Linked DNA regions of Drosophila melanogaster. The protein of the gene in region 3 purifies or fractionates together with the protein of the main gene of each other region. This does not show direct contact. Each region holds a gene or a part of one and is shown on either strand. Other genes may lie near its edges.

Region 1 (6,223 bases), about 17 Mb from region 3:
TGGAAGCGTACGTACATTACCTCGCAGCCACAATCGCGGAAGCAGCACAGAGGGCCACACCTCCCCCACATCAAGCTCGTCACACGACCGCAAGGAGGGAGCTGCTCTCCCACAAAAGGCGCCTCAGGAGACGGTACATCGCAACAGGAGATCCTAGCATTAAGCAGCTATACTCTAGCACCACTAACAAACTGCAGCGTTTGCTAGCCAGGACACGACGAGAAAATCTGGATACCCTGCTGGAGGGTACTGGCCCAGATAACAACAGCAATTTTTCATTATGGAGGCTCACAAGAGGTATCAAGAGACAGCCGTTGTTTCAATCTCCCGTCCAGAGTCACAGTGGCCTCTGGCTTAAGACGGACGATGAATAAGCGAGGACATTTGCTTCGCACCTGACCTCCACCTTCATGCCCTTCAACCTAACAGACGACTCAAACCGCGTAGCCATCAATAATTTTCTGGACACTCCGACTGCACCGGCTCGCCCCATTAGGCATACCCCACCGCCGGAAGTCATGATGCAGCTGAAGGCGCTACAAATCAAGAAATCGAGAAAACCCCTGGTTAGGATGGCATCGACAACCGTGCTGCGAAGTCTCTGCCACGCAAAGGAGCTCTAGCCTTAGTAAAAATATTTAATGTCATCCTAAGGCTAGGGCACTTTCCAAGGTAATGGAAGCGTGCACGTATCATAATGATACCTAAAGCCGGAAAGCCGCCAACGAAGATCGATGCATATCGCCAAGTCAGCTTGCTATAAACTTTCTCCACGATTTTTGAGAGAATACTCTTAGCCCGCCTGATGGAACTGCCGCAAGTAGTGAACCACATACCTCGACACCAATTTGGCTTCAGGAAGTTCCACGGCTGCCCTGAACAAATACATCGACTGTTAAACCAGGTGACGCATGGCTTCGAGCACAAACTCTACACGGTCGGCGTCTTTCTAGACGTGAAGCAAGCGTTTGACAGGGTGTGGCATGAAGGACTTCTATACAAGATGAAAGCTCTCCTTCCTGCTCCCTACTATGCCATCCTGAGATCGTTCATCTCTCATCGGACCTTCGACCTTGCAGTGCGTGATGCTCGGTCCAGCCTGGAAGAGATTCACGCAGGAGTTCCACAGGGAAGTGTTCTTGGGCCCTTCCTGTACACCCTGTACACTGCCGACCTGCCATCTCCCGCCAACAACACCGAAGTCTCCCCGGATCAGCTGCTCCTGGCCACGATGACACCGCCATGCTGGCGTCTCATCCTGTACTGTAAACTGCCTCCAACGCAGTCCAGGAATGGCTGTATGTAGTCGAAAAATGGACTGCCAAATGGAATGTGGCCATTAACTCCTCGAAGTCAGCCTGCGAACTTTTACCCTGTGGCCCGGAACTTTTTGATGGAAACTCCATCATCAATGTCACATCGCACTACCTAGGAGTTCATCTAGATCGGAGACTGACCTGGAGGGCCCACATCACGTCGGTCAAATTTTAGTCACTGGCGAAGCTAAAAAAGCTCGACTGGCTCTTCCACTCCAGCAAACTACAAGTGAGCTCTAAGGCTCTTTTAATCAAAGCCATACTTGCTCCAACGTGGAGTTATGCCATCCAGGTGTGGGGAACTGCCGCCAAATCCCAGCTCAATAGGCTCCGTGTCGTCTAGTCGAGAGCTGCACGTCGTGCTTTTGGGCTCCCCTGGTACGTGACAAACAAGGTAATCGAAAGAGATCTGAAAGTTACCCCTCTTGGGGATCAGATTAATTTTCACAGCAGCCGTTATGCCGACAGGCTTATGGTCCACCCGAACCGACTAGCAAATAGCCTATCTAATCCCATCTCCCTCCGAAGGCTGAAGAGGGTACACCCCACCGATCTCCCTACACCCTTACACAATAAGTAATTAATAACTAGATACATTTTCCCTTTTGTACTTAATAATTAAGAAACCACTTGGTCTAATATACCTTTATACACACATAAGGTTAAGTTCAGAGGAATTGACCGAACGATTCCTTTTGGAACCAAAATAAATAGAATGAAGTTTAAAAAAAAAAAAATATATTGTTATATATATACAAAATTGGAGGGAAAAAGTCTCTTTAAAGACACTTCATGTTCCACCTGTTTCCAATTTATCCTGTTTTATCGACCCTTTAATGATCTCAGAATTCCATGTCTGACTTCTGTCTCAAAAAATAGTAGCCAACAATAAAAAATGAGATTGAGACAAACCTGTTGATATGCGTTGGGACCATTTTATTTATTATATTATATGTATGTTACATTGTTAAATTGCGTTTGGAAAAATGCCTACATAATACTTTGACACTCCTTTCGGTCGTTCTTATATTATTCTAGCCTGAGATGGTTTCATACATCAAAAGTGAAGTCTTTAGTTTTTATAGTTGTATTCAAATATTTTTGGGCGCCACTGATTACATAGGACAACTTAAATAACTAATTTTTTCTGAATCACAAGAACAGACATTATTTGCCGTCTCTAACATAGTTAAGCGTTTTTTTTTAAACTATATTATATTAAGGCTCACAGAGCAAAAAATGTGAAATAGTATAAGCAACTTACAAGTAAATGCGAAAGAATTGACGTGCGGTCAGCTTCTTGTTGCATATTGGGCACTTGTGCGTAGCTCTGATGGCTGTTTCGATGCATTCGCGGCAGAAGACGTGTCCACATTTGGTTGACACTGGCTCGCGCTTCGATACACTGTCCATGCAGATGGGGCACTTGTATAACTCCTCTTTTTGGGACTCATCAATGTCGCGATTAACGCGTTTTGGTGGCGACGCAACGTCGAGATCCACTACCGGGTCATTTTCGGCTGACCGACGTGGCAGAATGGTGAGGGAGTCGTTGGAGTGAAGATTCACTGTGCGACTTCTTGGGCCTTCGGGGGTGCATAGATCGATGAAAGCATCGGGATCACGATTCCGAGCGGATCGAACAGGTGGTGCACGGTCCAAATGGGACAGATCTATCACTTCTACTGGACTCGCTACGGAAAAAGTAAGAAACGGTATTCGGTTTATTGCTAGCTCTATCCGCGAAAGCTATCTGGTTTTCACAAAATTTTAAAAAATATAGATAAATTTTGCCTTCAAAAGTAAGTAACCCGGCAGGGTTATAGAAAGAACTATGTCATTGGTTATTGTGGAATTAAAAACATTGTTCATTGTGAAACCCAGATGCGTTCATTTTGATCTGCACTTACTTCTGCGGCGAATTCTACGAGTTGTTGGCGTTGAGGTTCTCGTGGCGAAGGTGTCAATCTGTGCCACAACTTCCTCGCAGTAGCGATTCACTGAAATATGAAACAATTAACAGAAAACTTCGTAATGATTATGGAGTGACATACTGCGATCCAACTCTGCTTCCATCTGGATCACATCCTGGGTAAGTGATCTGATCTGCGAATGAGCATCTTCAGTCGAGACAGACAAGTTAGCCATATTTAAGGGGTTATTGCTTTGCGGTGACTGCAGTTGGTTTGAAGCTTCTCCGACTGAAGATTCGCTGGTATTGGTGGCTGAAGATGAGTCTGATTCCACAGATAAATCACGCTCCACTGGGGATGGGCGTTCCAAGGACGAATGGGAATCAGCGGATGAATCAGATTCCGCGGATGACTGAGATTCCACGGATGTATTGTGTCCCGAATTGGATTCTATGGATGAATGGGAGTCCACAGAAGAGTCGGATACACTGGAATTGGAGCTCGAACTGGATACGTTGCTGTCCGCTGACTGATCAAGAATGGATGAGTTCTACTAAATAAATCAATCATAAATCGGAATTAACTAGTTTAAAGTCCAGGGTATACTTACAAAACGGAAAATAGTCGAATCTGACATTGTTCGAGCAACAAATGACCAGGAAACTTGTGAAATGATTTCGTAGTAAAGACAAAAGCAGGTGAACCCAGATATACATGTGCTTTAGTGCAGATTGAAATGTGCAAAATAGTTTCCTCCTTTCACGCGACCATTCGGTTATTTTAAAGATGACACTTTACGGACATTCGGGAACAAGGATTTAAGATCGACTATCGATTTTTGCGGTATTATACAATGCTGTTTAGAATGACACTTGTAATTCAATAAAAATCAATAATTTATTAAAAATAAAATTTCCGTTTCGGCGAAATTCTTTGATAACAAAATAATTATAAGAAATGTATATAAATATGTCGACATTACAAAACCATACCATCACTATGTAAACGATATTTTTTAGGCGATTAAATGCCATCGATATATACCGTGCCGTGGTAGTGTTAGAAAATTGCGGGAATTAACGTTAAATGCACGTCACCAAAGCAGAATAATAGAATATTTTCGAAACAAAACAAAGTTGGAGACATGGACAAGGATGCGTTTACATTACAGGCCATACGGCAGGACCTTATCGATAACAATCTGCAGGCTAAGGCAATAATACACGTAAGTCTCCGCTATCTGAAGAGAAACCCTCATTACCGAGCTTCTGTTTTTAGGACATCCTGAACAGCCGCACCTCCATCGCCGAACTCGAGGAGCTGAACGAAGCGGGCCGCTCCAAACTGTCTGCTATCCGCAAAAGCATCGAGCGGCTGGACGACTGGGCGCGGGACACGGCAGACTCTGCGCTGGCCAATGAAGTGGACGACCACCGTGATCAGTTCTCCAAAACGCTGCAGGCGTTCCGAAAAGCAAACGTGTCCACGATGCTGGAGATCGAGAAGGCCAATCGGGAGGAGTTAATGGCCATTACCGGCGAGAGTGAGCTACGCCAACGAACCACAACACGGGCGCGGCACAACCAGGGCAGTCTGGTTTCGCAGGAGAACGACGTGACCGAGAAGATGCTGGCTATATCGCGGCACCTCTCGGAGACCACCCAGAAGAGCGCCATCACCCTGGAAACGCTCGTGGCCTCGTCGCAAAATGTGGAGGCCACCAGCGACGAACTGCACCACACGGCCGGCAGCATTAGCATGTCCGGCAAGCTGCTCAAAAAGTACGGACGACGCGAGTGCACTGACAAAATGCTGCTCTTCTTCGCCTTCTCCTTGTTCCTCGCCTGTGTCTTTTACATCGTCCAAAAGCGACTCTTCTAAGACTCCACAAATGGACAAAACCCGTTCCCAAAATAGCTTAAGGTTGTCGCTTCTGTTGTCTAGGTATAGCTAGATTAAGCTTAGCACATGACCATACCTTGTAAGCACAGCTCCTATATTTATATTATTTAGTGATTTGCCTAAGTTGTAAACGTGGTACAGCCAAAGACCCTAGAATAACAAGATGCGTAACGCCATACGATTTTTTGGCACACGATTTTTTGGCCGTGGCTCTAGAGGTGGCTCCAGGCTCTCTCGAATTTTTGTTAGAGAGCGAGAGAGCGAAGAGCGCTACAGCGAACAGCTCTTTTCAACGCACAAAGTGATAGCAGACATCTGTATGTGTGCACACGTATTCACATGCATTGTAAATTTGACAAAATATGCCCTTCACCTTAGAAGTTCTTTGGCTTTAAATCTATATTATTTTTTATCAATTGGCACCATGCGAAAAATTCTTGTTTTGCATTGCCTTAACGTTATTATTATTTGAAAATAGATTAGAAATAGTCAAATCTATGTACATATTATCACAAAAATAAATTTCAAAAATGAATTTATATAAGAATATTTGTCATTAGAGTATTCATCTTGCGGCGTGTGAAAAATTAATAAGGCAATGATTGTTGAGTGCTTGTGTCCGCACTTCGTGCCTCAAGATATGAACAAAGCAAAGACACTAGAATAATTCTATTGTCTTTGATATTACTTTTGCAATTTAATTTAATTGCATATTTAATTATTTAGTATATTTATTAAATCATTTGACTTAATATGATGTAACATTAACATTAAAAGTGTTTCAAAAAAAATATTTCGGTTTTAAAAAATTGTCAGATGAGAGACAAATTAGAATTAAACATAAATACAAATGTGTAAACGGTAGCTAATTCGAGCGGCGATTTTAACAAAGAAATTTAAAAAAGCTTTAAAATTATAATAGCCAGGGCGCGAATTTTTAAAAATTTTTTATTTTATCATATTGCTAGGAAATTGGCAAAAACTACCCTAATATGTACCATGTAAATTCGTTTCTTCGATCAGAATTGATTTCGGCCCGAAAATCGTCTTCTAGCACAACACGCACACTTATACGCGTTCTCGTCTCTTGTT
Region 2 (6,223 bases), on a different chromosome or scaffold from region 3:
TTGGGCTCCCATTTGTCGTATAAATTGGACATGCCAGACTCGATGCTCTTTGCTTGGTTAACAGACTCTTGAATTCCTTCCTCCAGTTGCTTGACTTCATTTTGCAGTCCTTGATAGCTGCTGATGGCCTGCATATTTTAATATGGAAAGTTATTAGATATATCAGCTTCAGTTCACTAATTTAAAAGAGTGTTTTACCTCGGAGTTTACACTTTTCATGCACTCCAATCGTGCCTGAAAGTCATGTATTGCCTCTCGTAGTTCGGGCAAATCTATATTTTCCAGCTCCCTAAATTCCTTCTTAAAAGGAAATTTGCTACTGGTTGGAATTTCTCCGTGGCAAAGGCCCTGAATAGCGCTCTTTCGTTTGTTAACGTCGCTAATTTGATTTTCTAAGCACTGCAGCAACTGTTGGAAGTCTCTCTGCAAGCAAAACATTCCTATAAATAAATTCCTTAAGTGCATTTCGATTTCCTTACGGTTGCTGCTTTACTCTGTTCCTCGCTTTCCTTGAGGGCTTCAATTTGAGTCTCATGTTGCAGCATATAAATGGATACCTTTGTCTGGGCCATATTCTTTTCAATTATAAGTCGGTCAATAGCTTTCAAGCACGAGCACAATTCCGCATCAGCATCGAATATTTTTTTTAAGTCTTTATGCAAACTGTTACAAAAATTGGTTTCAAGACAGTCTAGCGCTGAAAAAACACGGTTCATAATGGCTGAATATTTAGTGCACTAAGAAATACTTACAATCGCTATTGCGCAGGGCTTCCAGCTTCTTTTGGAGCGTTTCAATTTCGGTTTTCAGGCTATTAAAATGGGCTATTTTTTGGTCAAGCTTTCGTCTCTTCTCTTGCTCATCCTTTGCAACAGCTTGCAATCGTTCAAATTCATTGTCGGTCTGGGTTATTGCGTTTTTAATGCTGTCGCTTTCCTTCACTGCTTCGGAGCACTGTTTCATCACCAGGGCCAGTTGTTGTGAGTCCACTGTAATAAGTTGGTTCTTCGCTCGAATGCTACTTTCAGTTAGAATAGTATCCGACCGATAGCGGGATGCGGTCACAACGAACTTCTTGCTGCCTAAAATGCACAGTACGGAATTCAAAATCAGAATTTATACATTTGCGAAGCGAAACCGAATAAGAAAAATATACACACCGCCGAAATAAACTCGGATAGCTTTTGGAATGGATGAAGTGTAATTGCCCACAGCTTCTGTGCCAATTGGTATATTATGAATGGAATAGGAAGCGCACAGCTTGTTTATTAGTGGTATTGGTCCCGTGACAAGATCCACGAGGTATGACCGAAATCCGAAAGAGCTGTAAAAGTATTTAAAACTAGGTATTGGACTAGTATTGGACAATTGACAAGTGCATACCGCAGATCATCGATGGGAGTTTTGGGACTGTACACGAGTCTATCGGATGGTGCGCAGTAAATAACGTTAACTCCCAATTTTTGCTTCACACACAACTCGTTGATCAGGTCCGACATATCCCCCTTGTCCTCACACGCAAATGCAAATAAATCGCGCTGCGCCACAACGTTTTCCAAAAACTTTGCGTCCTCATGATTTTGTACTGTAAGCTATGATAGCGGTTTTAACATTAGGCCATTGGTAATGGCTTCATTTTGAAAAGCTCACCTCAAGTATCATTGGGTCATAAACGTTCAATTTGTACCTTTGCTTATTTTGCGCCAACCAGTTCATGGCCACAACCAAATTCGGATTTTTTGCTCTAATTTCCTAAAATGAAAGGTAGCGTTAAGTTGAGTTTTCATTATTTCAGTAAGAACTTACATCAATCTTTTGCATTTTGACGTTTCTCAACCGCTCTATTTTAAGTTTATACGCAGTAATTTCAGGAATCATTTCATCATTCAGTTTTTGTTCCAGTTGTCTCCGTCTGCTGTACTGCTCCATTGCTTTCCCGCGGGCAGCTGCGCACGATTCCTTAGCCCTTTCAAGTTCCGAAACGATCAGAGGCCTGCTCTTATTTAGGGTTTCAAGCTCGTAAATTTTATTCTCCACCAACTGATTTAGGTTATCACACTCTGTGGCCGTTCTTCGTGATTTTTTAATGTTTTGCTATGTGACAGAATGTAAGATTAAGAGTTATTCACATGATCGATATATGCAACAAGAACACCAACCTCCAGTTCATATTTTTTTTGGTAAATTCCTTGCTTCAAAGAGTCCATTTTACCATCAATAGCCGCCTTCTCCGCTACAGCGTTTTCTAATAAGCGTGTCTAAAAAAACTTATTTTTAAAAAATATATTAAAAAACACTGCCACCCATTACCTTTTCCAATAAGGCCTTTCTGAGTGATTCTTTTTCCTTCTCAATTTGTTCTTGGGATTGAAGAAGTTTGTCATGTTGGTTCTTCAATTTGTCGCTCTGAGTTTTTGCGTTTTTCACTTGAGTTTTCATTTCTGCGGCCTTGGCTTCTCCAGCCTGAGTCTCAACCCACAATTTCTTCGCACTGTACACCTGCAGCTTTTGCTTGACCTCTTCGCGTTCTTTATATTGGGACACAGTCATTTGTAAGCTAATAAAATGATATTAAGACAATTAGGTTTTTAGTAAGAATTAAAATTTTGTACTTCATCCACACATTTGGTTACATTTTACTTAGTGAATAAAAATAAGCTCGGGTAACTATATCTTACTGTTCCAATCGTTTTTGCTTCTTAACCAGATCACTTTTCTCTTTTTCCCGATTAGCATGGACATTCGCCTGTTCTGTGCGCATTTGCTTTAGACTGTTGAAGCTGTTGATCAGGTCTTCGTCACACACGGAGGACATTGTGTTGAGCAAAAGCTCTTGAGGATTCATCTTGGAGAAGTCCTGAAACAGTATGTTTACAATAAATAGGTGTGTAATTTATGAATTGCCAACATAACGACATACCTGAACCCGATCCTGCGGGAGGAACTGACACAAATTGCTGACTTGTATGTTAAAGGAGGATACAGCAGCCAAAAAGTTCTTCTTGGAGGTGTCTTTGTCGTTCACAGAGAAGGTAGACAAGCCATTAGAGTTTATTATGCGCCGAAAGGTTTCCGTGGTGTTGGGCGTGCGTCCATACACCCGGACAATTATGGTGGCCGAGGTTTTGTTGCTCTGTATGTAGTCGGCAACGCTGGCGGAGCGATCAAGGAGAATCGGTTCCCCTCCGAGGCCCAAAATTATGGCCGACACGATGGTGGACTTGCCACTGCCATTGGGACCGGTCAGAACGTTCAGGTAGTGCTTCGGATGGAATGTGATCTCGCTGTAGGATCTGTTGTTGGAAATAATCAAATGAGCCGCGAAATTGTCAATTTGCGCCTTTGATGGAAATAAACCTACACGAAATCTTTGCAGTACACGGAATGTATGCGCCCCGCCAATTGCTTGGAACTTAAGGCACGATCCCCCGCCATGTCGTGGCGTAGGCTTTTATCCGAGCAAATGCTTATTTCAACTTAAGTAAAACGAGTTGTTTTAAATGCAATTCCGCGCTTTCAAGAATTTAGTTTTGCATTAGGGCATATGTGCACGTACCATTGTTGTCGATAACGATTGGTATATTAAGGGTACACTTGTGCGCCGCCCGTATGTATAATCAATTTATGTTTCTTTTATATTTTGAGCTGACAACATAAAAATGATAATTTTAAGCCTCAGAAATCTATTTTCGGAATAAAAACTGACAAGTAAAATGTCAGTAACAAATCGTGGAAACGATAATTACAAATTGATAGAAATAAATAGCAAGGAAAAAAGAAATATATAGAGCTTGAGCTGGGATGCAGCCAGACTGTCACAACAATTAATATCTATTACTTATCTTTCTGACGGGGCCTAAAAAATATCTGAATTTAGCTCCAAAAGGGTTTAGTTGCCAGCATTGGTGTCATCGCTATCGATTTTCTCTCATCTCTATTGGAAATTAATAAACTATTTTGCTTAGACAATACAATTCAAAATGAATGTAGGCAAGATAAGCGTTGTCACCAGACTTCCTGCCCTCCGCTCGTGCGCCCAGTACTCGAGCGCTGCGAAAGCGGAACTGCCGGCTTCCTTGGTCGGCGACGTGGATGTGGAACCAACATATCCCCAGACGGTGGACAGATCCGGCCTGCAACCACAACACAAAAATGTGCTCCTTAACAAATTGCCATACCAGGAACCTCACTCCTGGATTCATTTGACCGAGAAGTACCAGAGACAGGCATTCGGCCGGTATGGGGCCCAGAGCAATGTGAATCCCAAGATTTGCTTCGATTCCCACGGAGAGAAAGACAGCAGGCAGGTTATGCAACTAGAAACACTCCTGAAAATGCTGGAGAAGAACCGCGCGCAGAAGGCAGAGGAGCTGGCAAGGATAAATGCCCGTGAAGAGGACATTGCGAAGAAGATGGAGAAGTTGACACAGTGGAAGGCGGACCTGCACGCGAAGATCGCTAAGCGGGAGGCGGATGCAGCGGCAGCCATACAACGCAAGGAACGCCTGGTAGAGGAGGTGCGCCGACACTTCGGGTTCAAGGTGGATACACGCGACGAACGCTTTAAGGAAATGCTAGAGCAAAAAGAGAAGGAGGACAAGAAGAAGCAGAAGGAGGCCAAGCGAAAGGCCAAGGAGGAGAAGATGATGGCCAAGCTGGTAGAGAAAGCATCAGTGTAATATTTGTAGTATCAAAACCATCGATTTAAGCGAAGAACTGTTGTATGTTACACTAAAATAAAAACACTGCAAAAAGAAGAGCACTTATTATCTGTACTCCCATAAAATATTTTAAAGTGTTGCAAAATATTTTATATTTTTATAAATTAAGACAAGAATTTGCTTAGACTAGTGAAAAGTAAGCCCGATGTTTGTGTAATATATACGTTACACAAGCATTATTTTTAAAAGAGGATCAGTAGCCGAGTCGATCTAGCCATGAAGGAGCTTGCAAGTTGATAATAAGAATGCAAATTCCAAATACGCAGGGGTACTTGAGTATAGGTATCTAATAGGTCACTACACTATTATAATTGCACTGAGAATTTATTAATCAATATTTTTGGTTATACAAATAATACAAAGCTCTAATTGCTATGGCGCACGGACAGGGAACTATACACCGATTTTTCGCTTTCGCGCCGGCTATTCGCAAAAATGCTCTGCTTCTTCACGATGAATTCCTCCTCATTACAGTGTATACAGGCAGTCAAGAAGTTATGAATATGCTTTTCTTTCAATTCCTTGGAAATTTTTAGTGCCAGATCTAGAGCTTCACTGGTTCGCTCGACTTTGTGGAGTGCAGCATTCGCCTTTATTATCAGTAGGTAGCACAGAAACTGCCAAATGTAGCTATTGCATTTTTTTGCCTCTAAAAAGATAGATATATAGGTATTTCCATAACCGTTTAATAGTATAGCACTAATGGACCAAACCTTCAATAGACTTTCGGGCACTAAAACAGCATTCGTCAAACCTGTGTGATTTAAGATGAATCTCTGCCATTTGGTGAAGTAGGTAGGACTTCTCTATAGGGTACTTTGCGAAATTCATACGGTTCTCGAGTCGGTTTCCCATTAGACTGAAAACAAAATAAATTAAAATAGAATTTTTATCTCGACTGCGAGTTACCGTGATTTTGTCAAGGCCGGATCTACTGTTTCCGAGCCTTGGTGCGTAGTTCGATCCCCAAATACGAAGTGTTTCACTTCCTTTGACTTGTCCATAGGAAAGCGAAGCAATCGAAGCAGTGCGTTCTTCTCCGAAAAGCGAAAGTTCTTCGGAAGCGTGTACTGATCTACGTAGGCAAGCGCCAAAATATTGTACACCTCGTTGATGAATTCGAATTTCCAGGGCATAATCCTGTTGGTTTTTTTCACCACGTAATCTCCCATAACTTCCTCCACGTAACTGGTGAGTTTCTAAAACCATTAATCATTTAACCAATCTCTGTTCGAATTCATTCAAAATTCTTACTGTTAGACTCTTGGTTTTTCGAAGGTACCGAATACTACGCAGTGCGGAAATCATGTTTCGTCTTGTTTGGTACTGAACTCGAAAAAGATATTCCTGGCGAAACTTATCCATCAACTTCTTGTTTGTGAACTTTTGGTATCGGATATTGTACATGGGGCTACGGGCTTCCAGAATTTTCTGAAATAAACAATTAGGGACAATTTGGGTACTCATAATTCGGGTTCACCACTCAAACTCACCAGAAAGCT
Region 3 (6,223 bases):
TGCGTGTGTCAGAATTTGTGCAGTGAAATTCCAAGGAAAGCCGCACAAGAATAAGGAACAGAGAGCAACGAGAGAGCGAGAGAGAGAGAGAGCAAAGCCGGTGGAAGGAGGCAACTACTGAACCCACCACAAACCATCCCCCTCAGCAGCATCCGCTCTCCTCCTGCCAATATAAACAACCATTTGGGATCTGTTTCCAGCTCTGTGTGAGTGCGCTATATGCTAGATAAACAAAATATTAGGGGTGTATAATGAATGCTTGAGGGTTTTTTGGAAGTTGCCCGCTGCTCCACTTGGTGACAAATTGCTGAAATCTAGTCGAAGTGCGAATACGCTTTTGTTGTTTTTGTACGCAATGTAATGGAATTTTGTGACTGCAATGTAGAAAAACAAATAATATATTCCTTAAATCATCCCAAATGAAACAAATAAAAGTACAAAGAAAATTAGAAATATTCAATCATACATAGAAACATTTGATAATAAAATAAATCTTGCACAGCAATTAACTAATCGTAAACAAAACATTAATATAATTTCTTTTAAAAATATTTTTCGGCTAGAATAGATAAATTTGCTCAAAATTTAAGCCTTTATTTTAAGATCTATAACTTCGTTGCCCTCCATATCCTGGTTATTGGGCGTATCATTTGGATCCAACAAGTCACCGTCAAAACTGAAATCACCTCAAATTCAGTGGATTGTCTCTACTTTTTCCAGCTTTTAGTACTTACAACAATTTAATGGTTCGGGGATCACAGTTCAACTCCTCAGCACACTTAATAAATATGATTTTGAAATTATCAGTTTTCTTCATGGGTATCACCAAAGGATGCTTCCATTTATCCGCCTGTACTTTAACTTGAAACTTCTTAGGTTTCCGGCAAAGAGCTTCTGGATTGTAGTCAATTTTAGCAGCCACGTTGTTATTATTGTGACTCTTTGTTGGATGGCCAGCTGTTAAATAGTTGAGAAATTTTCAAATAATAATATATATCTGAATAGAGGACACCTACTGAGCGTATGAAATGATTTGAGACCAATGCTGTGCGGCGTATCCTCAGGTCCAACGAAGTTATAGTACATATCCACCGTTATATCATTCTCATCTATCCCATTGCGTGATGCTAACTCCTTGAACAGATGCTTAAACTTTTGGTGCTGCCGCAATTTATAAATCTGGATCTCGCCAAGCCTGCATAAAAATATTTATATTAATCACGAAAAAGGATAAATATATTAAAACTTACCACGACAAAGCTACTTCTATTGTGGGATTATCGTTATCAAAAATATTTTCTTCCTCTACGACAGGAGGAGCCTCCTTTTCACCCTCGTCTTCAGAGTCTAGATTAACCTGTGAAGAAATAAGTATAATATTAGCCTTATTGAATAGTACAACTTCTTTCTAGGGACTTACAAATCCCTCCACTCGGGGAGCGACCGCAGATACCAGATCAATACTGTCCACCACTTTGGAACGGGCTGCAACTTCGGCCAACGTCCACCGTCTGCTAATGTGCTCATTGTTCTGCTACAAATATGAAGAGATTAGAAAATACCCAAGATCTCTATTCGAAATTTCAAACATACACCTACAATGCTTGGCAATGAGACCTCCATCGAAGCAGAGTTGCTGGTTGTGGTTGTTAGAGATGTTCTCTTTTTTTGGCCGCGCTTCTTTGGTTTCGTCTGTGTGGGCACCTCCACAGTCGGTGAAACAGGTGGTGGCGCCATTTCTGACCTATTTAACGATGACCGTGTGCGTCTGGCCACAGGACCAACGTCATTTTCTTTGGCGTGCTTCTCCACATCCGATTGCTGGCCATTTTTCTTTTCCATCTCCAATATCAACAGGGATACCGGTGATAGGGAGCGCTCTGTTCTCATATCCTCTTCTGGCTCCACAGCCTTATGTTCTGCCTGTTTTGGTGGCGAAGCATCATCCTGACTTTTGGGTGGATTTTTCCGCGTCGCTGCAGGGTTCTTTCGTTTGCCAGTTTTAGTTGATTTCTTGGGGAGGTCTTCAATGAAATCGTAGTCCACCTCCTTGGAGAAGGAATCATTGCCAAGATTGTAAGGATTCTTGGGCAAAGCTGATAAAGACGACAAAAGCGAAGGTATGTGGAAAAACTTGGATTTCTGCAGTTTAAAGCTAACCTATTTCGGGAATCCGCTTGCGAGCAGCACTGAATATATCGCAGTCGTCGTCGGACATCGTGGGCACTCAGTAACAGTCAGTAATAAACCAATAACGGCGCCAAACAATAAACACAAACACAAAACCAAATAGACGCCACAGTGGTTGCAAGGAAAATCGATATCCGATAACTACTGTGACCAGGGTAGCCACACGACACGAGACCACGATCAAAGTATTTGCTGGTAGTCAAATGTAATTTACAATTCGATTTTATTTAATGTGTGTATCGATGATTTGGACATGTTAATTATTTGTATTATCACGATTGAATTCACTAAATGTTTGTACAAGCCTACTGTGACGTAGAGCAACTCTGGCCGACAGCTGTTTGGCCAGTGTTGACAAGCGCCACGCCGTCAAAAGCAAATCTCATTTAGTTTCCAACGCTGCTGGCCTGGCAAAAGCAAAAATCGAATGTATTATAATAAAGGCCCGTAATGCTATTGAAAATAACTTAGAGCCTCGCGACCAGAGGCTTTTCCGCGTGTGTGTGTGCACTTGTGCGTGTGCGTGTGTTTGCCCTTGGGTGCGTGTGTGTTTACCTGGATTCCCTAAAAAAAAATCAGTAAACTGAAAGTGAGAAAAAGAAAACGGGAAGAGACGACAAAGTCTGCCTGCGTGCCATTTTTTTCATTTCATTTTGCGTGGAATACTTTGAGACGACGCGATGGCCTCCACCAGCAATCTGCTGGACGTGGTGCGCCACTACCAGCGCAGCATTGAGAAGCACGGCGAGGACGAACAACGGGTGAGCTATTACCCTCATTGGCACCGCCATCGCATCCCTTTTGATCCACTGCTTACTGCCTTCCTATCATTCAAGTCCCCCATTTTCCTAACCATTTAATCACCCCTATGTACCTGACCTGGCTGGCTTTCCCTTACTTAACCTTGTGAAATTCGCAAACATATGTACCTCCGCCAAGGTCACTTTTCTCGACTTTAAGTCGCTCTTCTTTTCCGCTGACCTTTCACTCACACGGTCTTTTGCTAATCTTTCTTAATCACCTCTTTCGCTACCTGCTCTCCCGTCGAGCAGCTGCTGCACTGCATCACCAAGCTGTTCAACCTGCCGATCAAATTCGAGCACCTGCAGGAAACGGGAATTGGCAAGACGGTGAATGCCCTGCGCAAGATCAGCGGGGAAGTTGGCGTGGCGGCCAAGACGCTGGTAACCAAGTGGAAGGCAATGGTGGCGAAGGAGGACCCTTCGATCGCATCTACGCCTACAGCCATACATAACGAAGAGGACTCGGGCAAGACCAAGTCCAGCGACGAGGATCCCGACCAGGAGAACAAGGGCGGCAACTCATCCAGCGGCGAGGACTTGAACACCAGCAAGCACAAGTCAAAGCATGCCAAGAGCACCAAGCATGAGCGTAGCAGCAGCAGCCGATCTCACTCCAAGAGTAGGTCTGACTCGGATAAGAAGCACAAGAGCTCTCGCCACGATAAATCCAAGGATAGAGATAAAGATCGGGAGGGTCAGAAGGAAGCTAAGGAGCACAAAGAAAAGAAGTCAAATGGCGAGCACAAGTCAAAGGATTCCAGCAAATCCAGCAGCAGTCACAAGAGCAGCAAATCCGAGAGCCACAAGAGCGAACACACCAAAAGCAAGCACGAAAAGGTATGCTTTCCTCTTGATCAAAAGTGGTTATTGTTCTTATGCATTTTTTTTTCAGGACAAAACTTCTCACAGTGAATTAAAGGAAGTCAAAGACAAGTCGAGCAAACACAAATCATCGTCCTCCAAGTCATCAAAGCGCTCCCATAGTCCCCCACGCCACGAGGAGGAGTCCCAAAAAGCAAAGATACCAAAAGTTAAATCGAAATCTGAGGAAGATTCCGCTGATGGTTTTGACTCCAGCATGGGCGCAAATTTTGACGATGTTCTTGGTCTGCTAAACATACCCATAAGTAGCAAGAAGAGCAGCAGCAACAGCAAGAGCAAGTTTGTCGCCAAGCCAACTGCAGCCCCTTCCTCGTCAGCTCTATCAGCACCTACGACTGCTGGGTCATCTAAAGAGGCACTCTCAACTAGCAGTCGACCGACCTCCAAAGTAATTAGTAGAAATTCATTTTTATAAGTTGTGGTAACATATGTTTATTCTTTAGAAACCCGAACTGTTGGCATCCACAGCTAAGCTGGAGCCCTTGGATCCAAACATTGCACTAGAACTTCCCACCATATCCAATAACTACAAGCCCATGCCATTAAATCAGACAGTTATGGACGTCGTCTTTAACCAGGGTGGCTCACACAAGGCGCAAGCATCACGATACTTTAATGAGTCAGAAGCTCTAGCGCAGGGCATCTCTTCCAAAACTATGCGGTGAGCTAGGATATTATAATGTGATGCACAAAGTATATCAACTTTTTATACTTTGTAGCACCAAGATCTATTCGGGTGTGAGAACTGGTCAAATCCTGCAGGTCCCTTCCCTTTTTGATCTCTGCACCCGCGTGCTGCAAAAGAATATTGATGGTAAGATCTTACTAATGGTCATATCGAATGTAAATAACCATCTTAATTGTTTTTCAGCATTGGAGTATACGGGTGGCGTTCCGTTTGAGGTCCTACGTCCCGTTTTGGAGCGAGCTACCCCCCAGCAGCTGCTTAACTTTGAGGAGTACAATCCTTATTTAATGGATGACAGTGATGTCCTATGGCAACAGCATGTCCAACGTCACTGTCGCAGTCAGCGGCGTGAAGAGATGGAAACGTGGCGCGAAATGTTTTTGGTAGGGACGCAAAGACCCTAAATTAATGCAAACTAAACTAAGCTGACACAAAAATTTCGTTCTAGCGCTGCCAAGAGGAAAAGGATCGCAAACTTAGCATTCTGGCCGAGAGCATCAAGGCATCGCAAAAGATAAGCGAGGCGCCTGTGCGCAAGACGCAATTGGCCTTTGTGGACTCAATGGTGAAGCCGCCGCGTAGTGTGCAGCGCAAGCAAGAGCAATATGGCACCAAGGGCAAGCTAATTGCCACTCCAGCCGCCCGAGTGGCCGCCTTGTCCAGCGTGACTCCAAATGCAGCCAAGGTGGGCGATGCCCGACTACGTGTGCTGGCCGCTGCCAGGGACACGGCCCAAGTGGGTAAGTATTGTAATGATTGTGGTTAAGAATTAAATTTACCTATAATTTTTATTGAAAAGGGGCTGGACCAGCGCGATCGAAGAAGGCACCTCTAATGGCGAAGACCTTGCAGTTTATGCGCGGACGTCTCAAACGATAGATGCGCTTACTCATTATAGCTACAATCTTATACTCAACTTCTTCAGCGACAACTTAAGCAGCAGCAGTAGCAGCAACCTCGATCTATTAGGCATTCACGGTGGGATTACCTTCCAACTTTATTGGCAAAGACTTTCAGGTCTGAATAAAGTGACATTGTGATACTAGACCTTCTACTTCCCAGTGCGCTGTGGAATCAGACTGCTGCTGTCGGCATGCGTAGCATATGCATGCTATTTATTATTTATTCATGTTCTGCCCTCTTTTATTACGCTGTATAAGTCACTATATTTAAGCCAACCGGATAAAGATAAAGCTTTTGTTGCATCCCGCTGGGTCGTAGACAAGCTCATTTACATAAGTTATGATATTTGATTATAGTTGTTCAATTCATTGATTGCATGTAACTTACGATCAGAAGGCTGATCACTCCAACATTATTTAAAAATTAAGTTCAATGTTCTTTGTTCAAAAGGGCTGTGCGTATGTCCAAAATCATAGAGGTTCCAAGCTGTATATAAATGTATTTACACAATCCTAAACCTATATGAAACTACCTAAATTATTGAAGAACAGTAAAATGTCTCTTAATGCATCGCTAATTAAATTCAACCAAAAAATTCTATATTACCTTTAGATTTATTTAGTTTTGCACATTTTTAGGTATTGGGTAAAATGTTAATATATTAAAAAAAATCACTTCAACAATTGAAATTCGATTCGAATGCTCGTCTTATTTTTAATAGTTACACATTTTTCAACTTTTGTGGAAATTGGCCACT

Evidence for each region.
Region 1: the proteins of Rad60 (region 3) and dgrn purify together in Drosophila melanogaster (affinity purification with western blotting, with the first as the bait; one study listed by BioGRID). This does not show direct contact.
Region 2: the proteins of Rad60 (region 3) and SMC5 purify together in Drosophila melanogaster (affinity purification with western blotting, with the first as the bait; one study listed by BioGRID). This does not show direct contact.

Annotation. Positions count from the first base shown.
Region 1 is NT_033777.3:5,822,592-5,828,814, reverse strand, and holds dgrn (degringolade), read right to left. Parts: upstream 4,201-6,223; 5' UTR 3,867-4,200; coding exon 3,840-3,866; intron 3,783-3,839; exon of another isoform or gene 3,780-3,782; coding exon 3,371-3,779; intron 3,317-3,370; coding exon 3,227-3,316; intron 3,011-3,226; coding exon 2,577-3,010; 3' UTR 2,239-2,576; downstream 1-2,238. Other genes in the region: Sec20 (secretory 20), read left to right, coding at 4,374-4,454, 4,508-5,110.
Region 2 is NT_037436.4:21,566,591-21,572,813, reverse strand, and holds the start of SMC5 (structural maintenance of chromosomes 5), read right to left. Parts: upstream 3,563-6,223; 5' UTR 3,436-3,562; coding exon 3,362-3,435; intron 3,294-3,361; coding exon 2,921-3,293; intron 2,858-2,920; coding exon 2,679-2,857; intron 2,558-2,678; coding exon 2,311-2,557; intron 2,259-2,310; coding exon 2,160-2,258; intron 2,095-2,159; coding exon 1,807-2,094; intron 1,753-1,806; coding exon 1,651-1,752; intron 1,593-1,650; coding exon 1,384-1,592; intron 1,325-1,383; coding exon 1,161-1,324; intron 1,083-1,160; coding exon 753-1,082; intron 698-752; coding exon 480-697; intron 424-479; coding exon 199-423; intron 129-198; coding exon 1-128. Other genes in the region: CRIF (CR6-interacting factor), read left to right, coding at 3,981-4,679; CG7634 (uncharacterized protein), read right to left, coding at 5,087-5,370, 5,435-5,580, 5,631-5,920, 5,976-6,152, 6,215-6,223.
Region 3 is NT_033777.3:23,249,007-23,255,229, forward strand, and holds Rad60 (Rad60), read right to left. Parts: upstream 2,472-6,223; 5' UTR 2,219-2,471; coding exon 2,161-2,218; intron 2,097-2,160; coding exon 1,594-2,096; intron 1,535-1,593; coding exon 1,421-1,534; intron 1,358-1,420; coding exon 1,251-1,357; intron 1,196-1,250; coding exon 1,017-1,195; intron 958-1,016; coding exon 735-957; intron 677-734; coding exon 586-676; 3' UTR 437-585; downstream 1-436. Other genes in the region: EloA (elongin A), read left to right, coding at 2,871-2,951, 3,243-3,830, 3,886-4,263, 4,319-4,536, 4,595-4,689, 4,747-4,946, 5,012-5,303, 5,363-5,442. UniProt on the Drosophila melanogaster protein: Required for repair of DNA double strand breaks which occur during replication or are induced by ionizing radiation (IR). Functions with dgrn and downstream of the SMC5-SMC6 complex to regulate strand break repair.